Linked DNA regions of Macaca mulatta. The protein of the gene in region 3 binds, or shares a complex with, the protein of the main gene of each other region. Links are inferred from orthologs where the notes say so. Each region holds a gene or a part of one and is shown on either strand. Other genes may lie near its edges. The genes, in order: AHI1, TMEM107 and TMEM216.

What was found.
Region 1: TMEM216 (region 3) and AHI1 share a complex: the UniProt entries of both Homo sapiens proteins name them as parts of the tectonic-like complex. The link is inferred for Macaca mulatta from reciprocal best matches to the Homo sapiens genes TMEM216 and AHI1.
Region 2: TMEM216 (region 3) and TMEM107 share a complex: the UniProt entries of both Homo sapiens proteins name them as parts of the tectonic-like complex. The link is inferred for Macaca mulatta from reciprocal best matches to the Homo sapiens genes TMEM216 and TMEM107.

Annotation. Positions count from the first base shown.
Region 1 is NC_133409.1:40,532,285-40,535,933, reverse strand, and holds part of AHI1 (jouberin), read left to right. Parts: intron 1-1,324; coding exon 1,325-1,431; intron 1,432-2,966; coding exon 2,967-3,085; intron 3,086-3,649. UniProt on the Homo sapiens protein: Involved in vesicle trafficking and required for ciliogenesis, formation of primary non-motile cilium, and recruitment of RAB8A to the basal body of primary cilium.
Region 2 is NC_133421.1:9,692,641-9,696,389, reverse strand, and holds TMEM107 (transmembrane protein 107), read left to right. Parts: upstream 1-1,203; 5' UTR 1,204-1,295; coding exon 1,296-1,382; intron 1,383-1,558; coding exon 1,559-1,626; intron 1,627-1,709; coding exon of another isoform or gene 1,710-1,727; coding exon 1,728-1,828; intron 1,829-2,665; exon of another isoform or gene 2,666-2,764; intron 2,765-2,931; coding exon 2,932-3,028; intron 3,029-3,273; coding exon 3,274-3,343; 3' UTR 3,344-3,598; downstream 3,599-3,749. UniProt on the Homo sapiens protein: Plays a role in cilia formation and embryonic patterning. Requires for normal Sonic hedgehog (Shh) signaling in the neural tube and acts in combination with GLI2 and GLI3 to pattern ventral and intermediate neuronal cell types.
Region 3 is NC_133419.1:12,654,453-12,658,201, reverse strand, and holds the start of TMEM216 (transmembrane protein 216), read left to right. Parts: upstream 1-1,136; 5' UTR 1,137-1,156; coding exon 1,157-1,169; exon of another isoform or gene 1,170-1,183; intron 1,184-1,723; coding exon 1,724-1,825; intron 1,826-2,374; coding exon 2,375-2,467; intron 2,468-3,749. UniProt on the Homo sapiens protein: Part of the tectonic-like complex which is required for tissue-specific ciliogenesis and may regulate ciliary membrane composition.

The DNA.
Region 1 (3,649 bases), on a different chromosome or scaffold from region 3:
GAGATCAAGACCATCCTGGCTAACATGGTGAAACACCATCTCTACTAAAAATACAAAAAATTAGCTGGGTGTGGTGCTGGGTGCCTGTAGTCCCAGCTACTTGGGAGGCTGAGGCAGGAGAATCGCTTTGAACGTGGGAGGTAGAGGTTGCAGTGAGCTGAGATCGCGCTACTGCACTCCAGCCTGGGTGACAGAGTGAGACTCTGTCTCAAAAAAAAGAATAATGTAGTATGTCTTAAAGTTGTAAAACATAAATCATTTTATTATCTGAAAGAATAAAGAAATTTATTATATCTATTAAATAGTCACTTTTTACATAATTTCAGAGACTAGGCATGTAGGCTGTCACTATAATTAATTGGCATGGGATCCAGATCAAAAGGATAATACTGCTGATTTACTCAGTTCAGCTGTAGGGATGTTAATAAATTTAGAACATATTCAGGAAAGAAAGGTATCTGAAAACTAACTCTGTCATAATAGCAGTAGTTCAGATTGTAAAAGAGACATAAAGACTTTCTTCAACTATTTGGCCGTAAGATACCCAAATGTGCAAAAAAAAAAAAAAAAAAGAAATTGGTCCATTTTACTCCAATGGGTAGAGGTGGGCCAAAGCTGTAGAAGGTAGATTTTCTTCGTTCAGAATTACAAAGAATATTTTAATACAGGAAGCAGTTCACCAATTGAATAGCTGTTTTGTAAAATACTGAATTCACAGTTGCTGAACAGCCATCTGTTAGTGGTGGTGGTTGAGATATTCCTGAGTGGGTATGAAGTTGAACTTTCTGAGGTCTGTCAACTTTAAGATGACTTGACTCCAAAGAATTGATGTTAAATTGGAATACCTGTTATTTATTATTTTATTCATTTCCTGATCATTTAATGAGTTTCTACTGGGTCTCAGGTATTATGCTAACACTATGTATTAGAATATAGGTATTTTTCTAGGACTCCAAAACAGATTTATAGGTTAATAAAGTAAGAAATAATGTTACATGTAGGATGGTTCAAATAATTTGGCTTTGGAATATGAGCCATATACACATGTACTGAGAGGCTCATTTCTTTTTGTAGTTAAATTCAGGTAAGTGACAAAGGGAAATAAGTCATCAAAAATAATTTAAAAGAGTAAAGAATTCATTTAAAGATAATTGGGGTTTGTTTGTGAGTTGCATTTTGATTTTTGACTTTTTTAAACTGAAATACCTTTTAATAGCCCTTCAATTCTTTGACTGTTTTACTGGGGTATGGTTTCCCCCAGTCTCCTATTATTTGTTTCTAACTCTGGGACATTCATAAGTGAGTAATCTTGTTTTTTAAATAGGTCATCATATGTATTCAGGAGACTGTACAGGGGTGATTGTTGTTTGGAATACCTATGTCAAGGTTAATGATTTGGAACATTCAGTGCGCCACTGGACTATAAATAAGGTATAAAATCATATTTTATATTATGAGATTTAATTAAAGAAGTTGGAAAACTCCAGTCACATGACTTTAAGATAGAATGTCAGGACATTCTGTTCTCTCATTTCAAAAAATTAACACCTTTCCTTTTTTTTTTTTTTTTTTTTTTTTTTTTTTTGAGACGGAGTCTTGCACTGTCACCCAGGCTGGAGTGCAGTGGCCGGATCTCAGCTCACTGCAAGCTCCTCCTCTCGGGTTCACGCCATTCACGCCATTCTCCTGCCTCAGCCTCCCGAGTAGCTGGGACTACAGGCACCCGCCACTTCGCCTGGCTAGTTTTTTGTATTTTTTAGTAGAGACGGGGTTTCACCGTGTTAGCCAGGATGGTCTCGATCTCCTGACCTCATGATCTGCCCGTCTCGGCCTCCCAAAGTGCTGGGATTACAGGCTTGAGCCACCGCGCCCGGCCAACACTTTTTCTTAGTCAATTATCTATAATTAATTAGCACACCCTCCTGGTGGTTGATTGATGATCTAATGACTTAGTGAAGATTTTTAAAATTTCGGCCAGATGTTAGTTTCACTTTTTTATATCCCATTTGCACTGTGGCATTCAGTAATCCATTGGGTGACATTTATGCTAAAATGAGATGTATGTTATATTACCATCGATAAGTAATAATTTATATTTTCTGTTATATCCTTTTTCCTTGGTCCAATAGCATCTCTAAAAACAGTGTTCTTAGTACTTTGTCAACACTGGTGTCTTTCAGAGTTATGTAATTATTATGAAAGTCTGTCATTTAATCAATAATTATTTCATTTGAAATTTGCTAAATGGAAACAAATGAATAAGTTCTTTCATTGGGGGCTGGAGTGTTTTTAAGACAGCTTGTAAAGCAGTTTTGTTAGTGTACATTTTTTACTTTTTATTTAAAAACACAAATGAATCATTAAACTTGAATTTGTTTTATATAAATTGATCCAGTTTCTGCCTAACATATTATACCTTTTTCTTCCATTTTTCTTAATAATGACAGTAGTTGAAAAAAGACACGCTAAGTGAAAAATAATTTTCATGAATTTTAGTTAAATCCATTGAGTCTGTCAGATCTGTTGAAAAAGCATTTCATCTGTTGTTAGAAATTCTTATATAAATAAGAATAGAAACTTGAAAATTAATAATACATGTGGTTTTGAATTTATAAAAATTGGAAGCTTCTTACATGATTTTAAACAAAAAATTTAATGTTACAAGATGTGTTTGTTGGAAGTGCTTCTTGTTTGGGATTGACTAAATTTTGGGAAAGTGAACATACTACAAAAACACATAATAATTAAATGTGCATTTACACATTGCATAACAACACAAAAATACAGTTCATCAGCTTTATTTTCAACCCTAAACTGAAGTTACTCAGAATCCTTTTGCTAACAATTATAAAGCATCCTATACTGCAGAATTGGAAAAGATATTTTAAGATTAATTTTGTACCCCCAAAAACGTTTAACATTAGATTAACTTTTCATTAGTAGTATTTTTTTTTTTATCATTTTAGGAAATTAAAGAAACTGAGTTTAAGGGAATTCCAGTAAGTTATTTGGAGGTTCATCCCAATGGAAAACGTTTGTTAATTCATACCAAAGACAGTACTTTGAGAATTATGGATCTCCGGATGTAAGTATATTTCAGTATTGACAGGATAAGTACTCACAGAATAAGTAATGAATTAAATTATATTTATAAAATTCGGTAGTGGTTCTCAACTAGGCAGTGTCCCCACACTCACCAAGGAATGTGTGGCAGTATGTGGAGATTTTTTTTTTTATGTTACTTCTAGTATCTAATGAGTAGAGATCAAAAATATTGCTAAGCATCCTACAGCCCATAGGACAGTCTCCCTAAAACAATTATCCAGCCCAAAATGTGAATAGTTCTGAGGCTGAAATGTAGTTAGTTGCTTTTATTTTCACAATTAAAAAAAAAGAAACTTCTACCTTCAACAATGATATTGATTGATACTGATATTATCACTATGATACTGTTACAGCATTAGTATAATATGATATAACAACAAGGCAGGGCTTGTGATTTATACATCCTTGTTTTTTTCCTTTATTTCCAAATAATGGTGAACATAGGGAAATCTTCTTCCTGTAAAAGGTAGAAGCAGCGTTCTGGGAAAATCAGCATGGACTTCTAGTGCATTTTTGTTTGGTGTTAGAGATGGTAATAGTGCCT
Region 2 (3,749 bases), on a different chromosome or scaffold from region 3:
AGCCACTGTGCCTGGCCCGCGTATCCCTGTTTGTAGCACCTATTATCTTACGGATTTATTTGTTTGCATGTCTGTTGTTGATCTCCCTGACTAGAATACTATTACTAGGTAATAAATAAATATATAAAAATATTTGTTGAAGGAATGAGAAATGCCTCTTGGGCTTGTACTTTAGTCTGGCTAAAGGCACTGAGACGTCGAGTGGGAAGTAGGAAGATATTGTTCTCCTGGGAAATGGGCCGGGAGTTTCCTTGAGGATGGGACTTGACTGAGCAATTAGAGAAGAACTTTCAGATCTGCAGGGACCTGCGCTGAGGCCCAAAGGTCATGACGTCGCCGGTGATAAGAGCTTCCTGGACTGTAGCTGGGCAATGTCGGAGGTCCAGCACCTCCAAGAGATAAAGAAATCTAAGTTGAGTTTCCCTTCCCGTAGGCTCCAAGCCTCCCAGAGACGCAGGGACTGTACCATTCCCTTCGTCCACTCCCACCTTTCCAGCCACCTTGCTTTGCTCTTATTCCCACGCTAGTTTAAGGACGCTGACCACTTTTTGCACTCTGCAAATCCTTCACCAAACTGAGCAAAGTAGTCTGAGAGAAATCAGTCTTCCTCAAGGAAGGTTCAGGCCTAGGGTCCTCAGACAACCAGGGGCTCTGTGACAATCTGTAACTGCCGAGCAGTCCAGGAACACCGGCCTCTCCACGTTCGGGTCCCTTGTTTCTCAGGCCCAGCTTGGTGGGAAGTTAAAGGCATGAGGAGAGGAGGAAGGGGAGCGGGTGTGAGTCTTCGGCATGGCGGGGACCTCAGCCCGGCGTGGCGGTGGGAGTGATCTCAAGTGATCCACAACTGGGCAGCGTAGCTGGGGCTGGGGGCCGCTCCCGGCGTGGGCAACCGCGGAAGCAGAGGTGTCCCCAGGCTAGGCCAGGGTGGGTTTCCGTTCGTCGGCCCTGCGTGGGCAGATCGGGCGCTGCGGGGCTGTGCCACCCCTCACCCTCTGAGAAACAAAGGGCCTGGCTGCGCACGGGTACCCAGCCATTGGGTTAGAAGCTCCTTCGGGTACCCCTGACCTGAGTTAGCCCTGAAAGACCCACAGCAGATGGAGAATGTACTGCTCTCGCGAGGTTTTCCGAGAACGCGGCAGCACGCCCGCGTACGCGGTTACCAAGGCAACTGGGCGGTGCCTGAGCTGGCGGAAAGGAGGAGTTCGTCTAGATTTGTCCGCTTGCTGGTGGACTTGCGGGAGTCGCAGTCTCTGAACTTCCAGCCTCAGAGACCGCCGCTCTTGTTCCCAAGGGCCATGGGCCGGGTCTCAGGGCTTGTGCCCTCTCGCTTCCTGACGCTCCTGGCGCATCTGGTGGTCGTCATCACTTTATTCTGGTCCCGGGTAAGACCCACGGCTGCCCTCCGTCCGCCCCCATTCCCATCTCGGAGTCGTCCCCGCCCCACCCTGCCCCTCTCCCAGTGTCTTACCCACTTGGGTTTTCTCGTGTTCCGCCGTCCCTAGGCCTGCCCAGCAGCCTGCCCCTTTTTCACTTCTCTTCCTCTCTGCCCTGCTCCCAGGACAGCAACATTCAGGCCTGCCTGCCTCTCAGGTTCACCCCCGAGGAGTATGACAAGCAGGACATTCAGTGAGCTCTTGGGACGGGGTGGCCAGAACGAAGAGGTGGTGGGAGTGGAGGGGTCTTAGAAGAAGTCCAAAGGCCTGGGCCAGTCCACTTCCTCTCTGCAGGCTGGTGGCCGCGCTTTCTGTCACCCTGGGCCTCTTTGCAGTGGAGCTGGCCGGTTTCCTCTCAGGAGTCTCCATGTTCAACAGCACCCAGAGCCTCATCTGTATCCTTTCTGCCTGCCCACCTTTCCCACACGACCCATTTCTATCAGGACTCCCTTCAGCCACCTGACACAATAGTGTCTGCTGTAGCCAGTCTCTCCAGTTCAAAGATCTTCAACCATGTGCTAAATCCTGCTGTTTACTAGGCACTTAAAATTCCGAAATGAGAGTAAAATACAGTTTTTGGCCAGGCACGTTGGCTCACGTCTGTAATCCCAGCACTGTGGGAGGCCCGCGCAGGAGGCAACATAGTTAGACCCCGTGTCTACAAAATAAATAGTAATAATAAAAACTCCACTTTTTTTTTTTTTAACCATGAGGAGGTAGATACACATCTGTAATTCAGTGTGATAAGCAGTGTGCTATGGGAGTGTGTAAAGATAGCACAGGCAGGGTGCGATGGCTCACGCCTGTAATGCCAGCACTTTGGGAGACCGAGGCAGGTGGATCACCTGAGGTCAGGAGTTCAAGACCAGCCTGACCAACATAGTGAAACCCTGTCTGTACTAAAAATACAGAAATTAGTCGGGCGTGGCGGTGCACTCCTGTAATCCCAGCTACTCAGGAGGCTGAGGAAGGAGAATTGCTTGAACCCAGGAGGCAGAGGTTGCAGTGAGCCGAGATCGTGCCACTGCACTCCAGCCTGGGCGACAGAGCAAGACTCTGGCAAAAAACGAAAGATATAAAGCACATTGGGAACTCAGAAGAGGCAACGGAAGCCAGGCACATGGGTCAGAGAATTGTGGACCAGGAGGACCAGGACACTGGAGGCTGATTCCAGCGCATATCAAGTCGCTGTCAGCACTCCTGTGTGGCATAGCAGGAGAGCCTACTCTTACCTCTCATCTGAAGGATCCAGGCTGGCCCCTAGATATGGAGTAGGGTAGCCTGAGATCCCATCTGCGCAGTCACTTCTGGTCTCTCCTCACATGACTGTCCTAAAATTCAGAAGTCGGGGATGCTGACTCTAGCCCTTGCAATATGGTGAGGGAGCAAACGATGAACCTGAATGCAGATGCCAACCCCACCACTGGCCTTTGGCCTTTTCTGACCCCTCACTATCTGTCGATCCAAAGACTTTCCTTAACTGTGGTGCCTTCTCAAGCCATTGGGGCTCACTGTAGTGCATCCGTGGCCCTGTCCTTCTTCATATTCGAGCGTTGGGAGTGCACTACGTATTGGTACATTTTTGTCTTCTGCAGGTGTGGTAGCATCCAATATTCGGGAATGAGGGAGGAAGGCTGACCCTAAACCTGAGGGTTTTTCCCCTACCCAGCCCTTTCCTCTATGTGGGAGATACCAGATCCACTTAACATCCTGTAGTCTTTTGAATTTTCATTCCCTACCCCATGCCACCTGTCCTACACTTTCAGGGGTGGGGTCTCTGGTTTGGAGATTTGGGTATTTATATTGAACGGGTTTCTGAATCTACCACTTGCCTCGGTAGTGCCCTTCCAGCTGTCACTGAAATGACTTTATTCGTCACCGTCTTTGGGCTGAAAAAGAAGCCTTTCTGAGCACCTTCATGACGGGAACCTAAGGACGAAGGCTACAGGGGCAAGGGCCGCTTCGTATTCCTGGAAGAAGGAAGGCATAGGCTTCGGTCCTCCCCTCGGAAACTGCTTCTGCTGGAGGATATGTGTTGGAATAATTACGTCTTGAGTCTGGGATTATCCGCATTGTATTTAGTGGTTTGTAATAAAATATGTTTTGTAGTAAGATTAAGACATATACAGTTTTCAGGGCACAATTGAAATGGCGAAACTACTGAAGAAAAAAAAAGAAGCAACGTTATTTTCTAGTTCTGCAGACCGTAAGATACTTGGTATCGCTTCTATTTTGGTTATTACGGTAGTTGTCTGGCGGAAGGGAGTGGGCGGAGATATGTAAATAGAAAGTGCTTACAGTTAGAACGTCCAGCAC
Region 3 (3,749 bases):
TCAAAAATAAAATTAAATAAATAAAATAAAGCCTAGTCACCTTCCTCAGGTTACCTGGTTGGAGCGTGCCATCTGTTTCCGGCTTTACCCTGATTGACAACGGGCTAACAGCCAAGTCAAGTCAACCTGAGTCCTCTCAAAACCCTTCTTTTTGCACTTCCCCGCCTGCAGCAACACGTTTTTGTTTGTTTTTTTGTTTGTTTTGAGACAGAGTCTCACTGTCGCCCAGGCTGGAGTGTGGTGGCGCAATCTCGGCTCACTGCAACCTCCGCCTCCTGGGTTCGAGCGATTCTCCTACCTCAGCCTCCCAAGTAGCTGGAACTACTGGCGCGCGCCGCTACGTCTGGCTAATTTTTGTATTTTTAGTAGAGACGGGGTTTCGCCATGTTGGCCAGGCTGGTTTCGAACTCCTGACCTCAGGTGATCCATCGCATCGGCCTCCCAAAGTGCTGGGATTACAGGCGTGAGCCACTAAGCCCGGCCAGCAACACGCTCTTACCGCTGCAAACCCGAATCAGGCAGGCTTTGAAGCCCAGCTCACATTTTGAAGCCCGTCTCTTGGAAACTGACTTAGATTTCCACCTGGGAGCACTTTGTCCTCTCAGCTCCCACTGCACCACTTTAGGGATCGCGTGGTGACTCGTTTCAGTTTATTTACGTGTGCTCCTGGAAAGGACGCTCTATTTCCCTAGTGTCTCTACCTGGTAGGTAAATAGGCCGCAGAAAAGACCAATGCTAACTCCCATCCCGCATTTGCAGAGATCCGTCGCTCACACCGTTTCTCGTCTTCCGTCGAAAAATGGGAATCGTGGGAGTAGGACCTATTTGCCAGTCTCCTGGTAACATTGTCACAACTGGCCACTTCCGCCCAACGCCCGGTAGCCCAAGGGCCTCCAGGGTCCTACCCCACAACCCCGAGCTCCTGCAGACGACGGCGTCGTGGGCGGTCACTGTTTTCCCTTAGGTCTGGAGAGGGGACATCCGAGCGAGGGCCACTTGCGGCCTGGCCCGAGCTCGTCCCGCTCCGGGTGACCACAGAGTGCCGCGGGCGGGCAGAGGGGCCGGAAACCCCGGCCGCTCAGTCCCTGTTTCCGGCAGCGGCGCGCTGCTCCGGGAGCAGCTGTGGCAGCGTACGCAGTTTCCACGGGGACTGAAGATGGCGCCGCGAGGTGAGATTCCGGAGGTGTGTGAGTCGCTGGTCCCTTTCCCTTTGATCCCTCCCTCGCACCTCTGTCCCAGAGCTTGACCTAAACCCTCCATTCTGTAGCGTTAGGGACATCGCGCCTCCCTGGTCCAAAGCGGGCTTCCGCGGACCCGCCCACCCTGGGTCCCTGAAGGTTTCAAGGTGCGTGGGTCAAATAGCCGCAGATCCTTGGCTGGGCCACTTCTAGGATGGCTCAGGTACGAATCTGTTGGTCTCCACGCCCCAACTTCCCCTCCCAAATAGTGACAGGGTGAGATCTTTGAGATGTCTGTCAGCTGCGAGTTACCTCTTAACTTTTACTCCTGAAGCCGAAGAGTCGAGTTTCGCGGTGATTCCTGGGAAACGAGTGAAGCCTCCTCCACATCCACCCCGTACCCTCATTATCAGCAACCAGAAGTGCCCCTGGGTGGCCGGTCCCATTAGTTGCGGCGTCTGGTTTCCCCAGTTAGACACCAACCCATAGGAGCAGAGAGGGAGCTGCCTTCCTGCCCATCCCACTTTTCTGTGCTGCTGTTTCAGGTAAACGGTTGTCCTCCACCCCGCTGGAAATCCTGTTCTTTCTGAACGCGTGGTATAATGCTACCTATTTCTTGCTGGAACTTTTCATATTTCTGTATAAAGGTAAGGAAGGCATGGGGCTTGACGACAGCACCCCTTCCCCACTTCAGCTCAGAGCCAACTCCGACCAAGAACCTTCTTATTTTCCGCTCTTTTCTGCCCCCTGCGGTTCTTTGTCGCTGCAAGGCAGGCCTCCTCATCAGATGGCTTCTTTGAGTATGAGTATGGCATCCCCTCAGCAAGAATTTCTTGAGTTTGGGAAATGTGGGCTTCTCCATTCTGACTCTGCCCACATCACTGGTCTTTGCTGAGCTCCACTGTAAGCCCATTGATGACCCTTAGAAACTATTCAGTGGCCCGTGTACCCATGTGCATCCACTCATTCTGGAGAGAGGAGTCCCCAGAGTCTTTTGGAGTTAGGAGTAAAATGGCATAATAATGAGCCTGGGTTGCACTGTGAGTTTATGTATCCTGCAGCTGTAATAATGCCCACATTTCACTAGCTCATGGAAAGCTGAGACTGATGTCCTTGAGACTGATGTCTCAAGTGTGTGGCAGTTCTTGTGGATGCTGTTTTATGCTATTTGCAAACACTGGCTTTTGTATTCGCAGGTGTTCTGCTACCATATCCAACAGCTAACCTAGTACTGGATGTGGTGATGCTCCTCCTTTATCTTGGAATTGAAGTAATTCGCCTGTTTTTTGGTGAGTGTTGTCCAGAGAATATTTCCACTCTTTATGAGACAAGCTGGTATCTCTAACTTGATTAACAAGAAAAGTACATCACCTAGGTTGACTATCAGAGACTGGATCTGTATATCCCATTACTCCCTCTCTGAAGTTTCAAGTTGCTGCTTCATACATTGGGGTCAGGATTTACCTGTTTGTTGCTCTGTAAGGCTAGAGATGGGCAATAGAATGTGATATTAGATGATTCCTTCCCAGCTGCCTAACAGCAAAAGGAGTGCCTGGTTCTTCTCACTAGTATTCTTGGGGGAGCAGGTTCAGTTGTAGCTCCATGTCAGGGCAGGCAGCATATCCTGCACAGATCAGTACTAAGATCCCTAACAATACTCTGAATAAGGATCTCTGTAGGATTTTTTTTTTTTTTTTGAGATGGAGTCTCTCTCTATCGCCAGGCTGGAGTGCAGTGGCACGATCTCGGATCACTGCAGCCTCTGCCTCCCGGGATCAAGCGATTCTTCTGCCTCAGCCTGCCGAGTAGGTGGGACTACAGGCGTTCACCACTGCTCCCAGCTAATTTTTGTATTTTTAGTAGAGACGGGGTTTCACCATATTGGCCAGGATGGTCTCCATCCCTTGACCTTGTCATCCGCCTGCCTTAGCCTCCCAAAGTGGTGGGATTACCACTGCACCTGGCCGGATTTTTGTTTTTTTTTTGGAGACAGAGTCTCACTGTGTCTGCCAGGCTGGAGTGCAGTGGCACGATCTCGGCTCACTGCAACCTCCGCCTCCCGGGTTCAAGCGATTCTCCTGTCTCAGACTCTTGAGTAGCTGGGACTGCAGGCGCCCACCACCATGCCTGGCAAGTTTTTGTATTTTTAGTAGAGATGGAGTTTCACCATGTTGGCTATGATAGTCTCGATCTCCTGACCTCATGATCTACCTGTCTTGGCCTCCCAAAGTGCTGGGATTATAGGTGTGAGCCATCACACCTGACCGGATTTTGTTTTTTAAACATTTACTTATTTGAGACAGGATCTCATTCTGTCACCTAGGCTGGAGTACAGTGGTACGATCATAACGCACAGCAGCCTTGAAGCCCTGGGCTCAAGCAGTCCTCCAACTTCAGCCTCCTGAGTAGCTGGGACCACAGGCATGCAACATCATGCCTGGCTCATTTTGTGTTTTTTGTAGAGACAGTGTCTTGCCTCATTGCCCAGGCTGGTCTGAAACTCCTGGCCTCAAGCAATCCTCCCGCCTTGGCCTCCCCAAGGTGCTGGGATTACAGGCGTGAGCCAACATG